2 linked regions of the Kluyveromyces lactis genome follow. The protein of the gene in region 2 purifies or fractionates together with the protein of the main gene of each other region. This does not show direct contact. Links are inferred from orthologs where the notes say so. Each region holds a gene or a part of one and is shown on either strand. Other genes may lie near its edges. The genes, in order: LST8 and TOR1.

Evidence for each region.
Region 1: the proteins of TOR1 (region 2) and LST8 purify together in Schizosaccharomyces pombe (affinity purification with western blotting; 3 studies listed by BioGRID, with this or other methods). This does not show direct contact. The link is inferred for Kluyveromyces lactis from reciprocal best matches to the Schizosaccharomyces pombe genes tor2 and wat1.

What each region holds. Positions count from the first base shown.
Region 1 is NC_006040.1:411,817-414,836, forward strand, and holds LST8 (TOR complex subunit LST8), read left to right. Parts: upstream 1-1,545; coding exon 1,546-2,457; downstream 2,458-3,020. Other genes in the region: type II HSP40 co-chaperone SIS1, read right to left, coding at 1-863. UniProt on the Schizosaccharomyces pombe protein: component of both TORC1 and TORC2, which regulate multiple cellular processes to control cell growth in response to environmental signals. Nutrient limitation and environmental stress signals cause inactivation of TORC1.
Region 2 is NC_006038.1:1,224,760-1,229,391, reverse strand, and holds part of TOR1 (phosphatidylinositol kinase-related protein kinase TOR1), read right to left. Parts: coding exon 1-4,632.

The sequences.
Region 1 (3,020 bases), on a different chromosome or scaffold from region 2:
TGCTTGGAGAAACCTAGAAGAGATTCTTTGAAAGAAAGTGGTAAAGTGTAAATCAAATCATTGTCTTGTCTGGTGAAAAATTCGTGTGGTTTTTCCTGTAGAACGAATTGTAATGTTTGTCTACCACCAGTTCTTGGATTATAGTCACCTTCACCTTTGAAAGTAATCTTGGTACCTGCTTTCCAACCTGGTTTCAATTGGATGTCAATTTGGTTCTTTTCGGACACACCACCGGCGCCTTTTCTTGTGATCTTGAATGATTTCTTCTTACCGCTGAATAAATCTTCTAAGGACACAGGTAGATTGACCTGAACAACTTCTTCTTCAGGTCTAGCCTGTTGTCTACTGAATCCACCTGGCATTCCACCTGGCATTCCACCTGGCATACCGCCTGGCATGCCGCCCGAAGAGGAATGGAAACTACTGCCTCCAAACCCGAAATCATCACCAGACCCGCCGCTAGCAGAGAATCCAAATGGAGAAGCACCTCCGGCAGCACCTCCTCCACCAAAGAACTGTGAAAAGATGTTGAAAGCGTCATCTTGTGAGAACGCATGTCCCCCGGCAAACCCACCAGAAGAAAATCCTCCAGGCCCACCAGGCCCACCAGGCCCTCCCGCTCCTCCAAATTGAGGAGCATTACCACGAGCAGCCTCTAGACCATAAGTATCGTAAACTTCCCTCTTCTGAGCATCTGAAAGAATCTCAAAAGCCTCAGAGATTTCTTTAAACTTCTCAGTGTCACCTGTAGGCTTATCTGGATGATACTTCAAGGCAGCCTTTCTGTACCCTTTTTTAATCTCGGCTTCACCTGCACTAGGCGAAATTCCTAGCAAATCATATAATTTAGTGTCCTTAACCATACTCCTACGACGTTTCAAATTTGGTAATTGTCCTTTTGTATATATGTCGAATGATAGTTCAAATTAGCTCTATCTAAACTAGAAGAATTAGAGTAAACTAAAAGAATCAGTTAATGTTTACACTGTTTCGAGATACCAATGGGACAAAAGATGCAATAAAACTCTTCTCTAAACATGTCGATCGAATACCAACGACCAATAATCTTTGAACGAAAAACATCCTGTTCTTTGAAAACCTTTATATAACATTTCATTCCTATATATTCAGGTTCAGTTCTGTTGCAACCGATCATGTTCTTTCAGAGTATACCCTGGAACCTTCTAGAAGTAAAAAAACATGAATGCTTTAAGCACGCGAGATTCATGTGACAATCACGTGATATAGAAGTTTCCCACCAATACAAATCTGTCATCACAAAGCCGCAAATCAGGTGTCATTCAATGACATTAGCCACTACACAATCTTGTGGCTATCTCTATGCCTCCACTTTTGTTTCAATTGCTGTTGTTTATATCTCAATCATGAATATTGACAAATTATGGTTTAATGTGATAAAGAATATGCAATATACTAGATGAAAGAAAGTCTTAAGGAATCTGAGGAGTTTTCAAGGCTTTTTCTCCCCTGTGAACAAGGTAGAGGTTTCTTATTGTGTACGGTCAGACTAACTTCAATATTGCCATGTCTGTTATTCTAGCGAGTGCTGGATACGACCACACAATTAGGTTCTGGGAAGCTTTGACTGGAGTCTGTTCACGAACCATTCAACATGCAGATTCCCAAGTGAATCGATTAGAGATTACGTCCGATAAGAAATATTTGGCTGCTGCTGGTCATTTACACGTCCGTCTTTATGATATACGGTCGAATAATCCAAATCCGGTGTCCTCTTTCGAAGGCCATAAAGGGAACGTAACGTCGATTGCATTTCAACAGGAAAATCGATGGATGGTATCGTCTAGTGAAGATGGGACTATTAAGGTTTGGGATGTACGGTCCCCATCTGTGCAAAGGAATTACAAGCATAATGCACCTGTCAATGAAGTAGCGATACATCCGAACCAAGGGGAATTGATTTCCTGCGATCAGGATGGGAATATCAGGATTTGGGATCTTGGTGAAAACCAGTGCACAAACCAGCTGACACCAGAAGATAACACGCCATTACAGTCGTTGTCCGTTGCAAGCGACGGATCGATGCTTGTTGCAGGAAATAACAAAGGGAACTGTTATGTATGGAAGATGCCTCATCACACGGATGCTTCCACTTTGGAGCCCGTAACTAAATTCAAATCGCATACTAAATATATTACCAGGGTCCTACTATCGGCGGATGTAAAACATTTAGCAACATGTTCAGCAGACCATACAGCTAGAGTATGGAATATAGAGGATAATTTTGAACTTGAAACCACTTTAGATGGTCATCAGAGATGGGTGTGGGATTGTGCGTTTTCAGCAGACAGTGCATACCTAGTCACAGCATGCTCTGATCATTATGTAAGATTATGGGACCTTTCCACAAGTGAAATTGTAAGGCAGTATGGAGGACATCACAAAGGTGCTGTTTGTGTTGCTCTTAACGATGTATGAAACTTTAATCAATATCTCTAAAGAAGGGATATGCGACATAGCATTTTATTGTGGTTTCGTTGATGTAGTAATTTAATAAAAAGATCAAAACTATGGATATCAAAACTCTTATTTACTTTCAACACTTAGATATATATAAAGATGACCTGCGATGATACTGGAAAGTTTCGCCAGGATCAGAAGTTGGTTGTGGCATTCGTTTTGGAGCTCACTTGAGTCGTCGAATGAATTGACAGGTCCAAAAACAATAGTACAATTAATGATCATGAAAAGGAAAAGAGCAGAACGACAATTACCACGTAAATGCAAGAATGGGTATGGTAATAGATACAAAATTAATGGGAAGATTAGGAATGGTTCAATTAGATGGGAAAACAAGTCCAATTTTCGTTTTTTTATTCGTTTCTGAATAGAATAATAGATTAAAGGAATAGAAACGATAACGAATGGTAATAAAGGCAGGTAAATCGAATTTAAACAAGAAAAACAAAAACAAAACAACGAATAGGAGATGGAGTAGGTTTAAAGAGTAATATTCTTAGTGGGAAAGGTAACTTTAGCGT
Region 2 (4,632 bases):
TAGTAACTCACTTGGATTTGCAAGAGGTAGATCTATTCCCGTCTGTTCCATCACGGCTTGAGTCGGTAGATCGAAACCCCAGTTGATTAATGGATCGTATGCAAAGGCTTCCAAAATAGCCATCAAGGACTCCTTATTATCCCTTAGGACCATCATTACGTTCTCACAGGTGATACGGAAACTACCTTCAATACCACTGACTTCCATTGCGTACGTTAACATTCTTGTTAATCTGAATGGTACCTTTTCTGGGTATTTCTCTCTGAGAATTGCAGCTTCGAAACAGTCACCGAAATCAATGTGGACAACTTTACCAGTAACACGGTCCAACATCAAATTACTTGGATGACGATCACCTAAACCTAAAATATATCCTACCATTGACATGACGGCTAACGATCTTGTGTAAGTTGTACGACGTTCGAGCCATGATTCTGATGAACGACTCTTTAACCATAGAACCTTATACAAGTCCTGGCCCTTGGTGTTATCAAGAGCATAAGTGAAAACTTCCACTTTTTGCAATAGAGTTAGGTTATCATAATCAGGAGCCATTTGGAGCATTATTCTGTGTTCTATATTTAGTGGAACTTTGCTTGCTTCACGATGTTCTCTGATCAAGACATGGAATGTATCACTATTTGGAACCCATCCCAAAAGACCGGATTTAGGTGATAATGGGATAGCAGGGTATTGTTGAATGTTCAAATGCCTTTGGAAACTCTCGGGGTTATTCTGTAATAAAGTATTAACCAAACCAAACAATTGCATGACCAAATTATCTTGTCTGATATCTTCATGGCCCTTGACAATATATTGATAGTCTTTACCATCGCTACCCTTGATAGATAGCCTACGAGGACGCTGTTTGGATGAAATAACAGTAAATATTGGCTCGAAATGGGTAATTCTAATGACAGGTTTTCCGGCATGATATGTACCTGGAACAGCAAGTTCTAAATCTTTCGCAGCAGCTAGTTTTGGTGAAACATGTTGGAGATCCAACGTCTGTAATTGAGGGAGTTTCCTGCTAATACGACGGAAGACATTATAATAGATATCCCAAGCTTGGTTAAGGTTGTTGATATCTTTTGTTCTCTTGTAGTTCATTACCCACTCGTGGGCATCGTTCAAATCCCTACCAAACGAATTTTGGAACGAAATCTCACGCAAGGTTTCAGGACCACGTTTTAGCATCTCATGCAATGGCTCCAAAGTGGCAAACATCTTTTCCGTGTTATGTTCACCAAAGAATTGTCTACTAGCATCTTCAAGACCTTCGTACCAAAGTTCGTGCCACAAAACAGCGACTCTGATCAATTCGTCACTTACTAATTCTGCTTGATCGACAAGTTTAGGACTGTGCATTCTCATCTTATCTATGATGGACAAAGCTGCCCTCTGTCTTGAGACCGAATCAGATTTAATGGCAACTGTCAATGGATACACTAATGCCTGTGGATGGGCTTTACCCAAATCAGCTAGCAAAGATAGTAAAGATCTACTAACGGTTTGATTTGGTTGATGAATTCGGGAGATCAATTGTGGGATAACTTCTAACCAGTTATCGATCTTGATCAATCCAAAGCCTTCATGCATAGCTTGTGCAGCTTCTGGAATACCACCGAATTTGAACCACAAAGTGAGTAATCTTAACGTATCCTGTAAAGAACTCGATTGGGAAAGAGCAATAGAACGGAAAAAACCTTTGATGGCTGGCACGACATGACGTTGGACCAGTTCTGGAGGGAAATTTTCATTCGCGCCAAGCCCTGCCACGGCACCATTGGTAAACTCCGTAGAGGCGTCTTCAAGTGTTAGAACTTTGTCATCTTTGATTCGCTGGGTAAGCGACGAAGTGACCTCGAAGTTTGCCAATGCCCAATTATGCCAAGCTTTATACCACGACTTATCAAAGTGAGTAGCTAGTAAATAGGAACCTAGGATAGCATCAGGATTTTCCAGGCGCCAATTTGGCTGTAGTGAGACTCTCCATTCACCTTGCTTTAAGAAACAACGAGCAAGTAACTTCGTATAGTCTTCAATGTGATGCTGAGATACGCTGCTATTCTGTGGGACACTTTGAGCTATCATGTTACTGGGATCGAGGCCTAGATCGTGTGCCATACGAGAAGTAAAGCTTATTAAATGGTTGAGTGCTTCCTTTTGAGAACCTGTAGCCCACATGTATTTCAATTGGGCGTAGACAACTGGTGGAGGTGCACGAGCAGTATTTGGATTCTTTGGATCACTACTCTCTTCCAGAAGAGTGTTCAATGTCTTCTGAGCTAGACCTAACCGTCCGGACTTCCTACAAAGATTAGCAAATTTAATCCATACTTTCATATCTTGTTTAGGCTTTATAACTAGTGACCGTACCTTTAGAATTCTTTGCCAGACATCAACATTCTTTTGACAACCTAACAATCTTTTGTTCCATGTCTTCCGTATCATAGCCCGTCTATCGGAACCCTGTGGTAAATTTTTATACTGAATTATTTCTTCTAATTCCGCGACCATTTGAGTTCTTACCACAACACCATAAGCACGGTTGTAACTTTCGTTCACCAAGGCAGACATTTCAGTAACAAGAAGATCTCTGGCAGCAAAGATTTGTTCTTGTGCTTTATCGAAATTGTTGCGATGTAGACAAAGAACGGCAGCAAAGAAGGCCTTATCTGGAGATTGTGGTTTCATCACCTCAATGTACTGCTCGATTCGATCCCATTGAGCTAAACCCCACGCAGCACCCGCAGCCAGAGGAGCGATTGCTCTCTTAATGTCTATCTTTGACGAAGCCCACTTGTCTGCTGCAAGTTCAGACAATTGATCCCAGTCACCTAAGGCGTGTAATGATCTCATTTTACCAATTGTAACTTCTATCGAATCTTCACCAGCAGCCTCACGCTTATTATACGCAGTCAAAGCGTCATCCCATCTTTGTAACTTTTCGTACCAAGTTTCCTTCAATTGTAGATCGTGGTGTTGCTGCGCATGCTTCAAAATACCGATTGCTGCATCTGTTTGGTGTAATTGATTATTGATACTGATTAAGGACTCGATAGTTGAAGTTGTTGGCTCTTCAATGAACTCCAGTTCTTTATAATGTAAAGCTTTTGCATATGCATGACAACGCTGAGCGTATTCGCCAAGAGTTGATATAGAAATTGGTAGCGGTTTGTCGTCATGCTCCATGAATTCAACCAAATTTAATAATGTCTGGTGGATTTCAGGAGGATTGTTTGGTGAGGATAAAGCAGAGCACAAAGACTGAACCAAATCCTCTTGATATTGCGTGTAAAGTTCACCCCAACAACTTGCAAATGAGGCGTTGAATAATTCTCTAGCTAATGGATAGTAGATACCAGCCAATCCGGAGCAGGCACGTAAAGCATGAGAAGATGATTCTTTGAGTAAAGAAATTGATAGCCGTCTAATCCACTCTTGCCAGTCCTCCTTTGTTCTTTGTTGACTACAATCCCAGGCATTTTTTAGCACAAGTTGGTTGACAGGAAGCTTCTTGGAAGCTACCTTTACATCGTCCATTTCTTTATTAGGTAAATCGAAATCTTTATCAATAATAATTTTGGTCGGTAGTGGCTCATTATTCAAAAGTTTGGCAACCAAACGGTCGTATATTGTGTGCTGAATGTTCTGTTTGACTAAAGTTTTATTGATAACTGGAATGAATACAGTAAAATCAATATTGAGTTGTAAAAGAAGTAAACTTAATGTGTTCATTGTTGCTTTCACGTACTCGAGTTCTGATGTATTTAAGACTCTTACTAGGGCTTGCACAATCCTAGACGACATTTCTAGTGGATTGACATTTTTCGATAGACGTCCTATAGTAATGATTGCGGCCTTCTTCAAATTTCCTGAGCTAAACTCCGATAGTTTTATGATAGTTGGCAGTACGAGGTGAGCATATTCCTCTAGATGTGGTCCAAAAACTACCAATGACTTCAATATTCTAATTGAGACAACCTTCTTATTCGACTGGTCTTTTTCCAAAACATCCAAAAACAAAGATAGTATATTAGGTAAATAAGGATTGAATTCTCCTTCTAAGGCTCTTGATAGTGATTCGATAACCGAGATGATAGTTAATTGTAGCTTTACGATAGGGAAGAATTCTGAGATTACTTCCACAATTTCAGACACATGTAGTCTGATGTGTTGTTTCACAATTGAAATCAAAACACTGAGCTGTTGGAAGTAGAGCTCAAGAAGTGAAGGTGGACATGTGTGCATAACCAGTATAAATCCAGGAATGATCTGTTTCAAAAATATGACACAGCGAAGCCCCATTGTCTGGAAAATGTGCATGATCGCTTGAATAACAGTTGAATGGTGAATAGATAACGAAGGATCTTTCAAAATCTTCATGAGGACTCCAATTACTACGGTAGGATAATACTCCTCGTTAGATGGAGACATACCTTGCATTAACAAAGCCACATCAATTGGAGGGGCATTTTGTTCTACCGTAATATTTGTACTAGATGTACGTTCCACTTCTCTGTGTTTATACGGATCTAAAGCACCAAGAATACCTATCAGCCTGACGGTTTCTCTACGAATGTTCTGTGAACTTTCAGATTTTAAAATATTGAGAAGAACGCCAAGTAA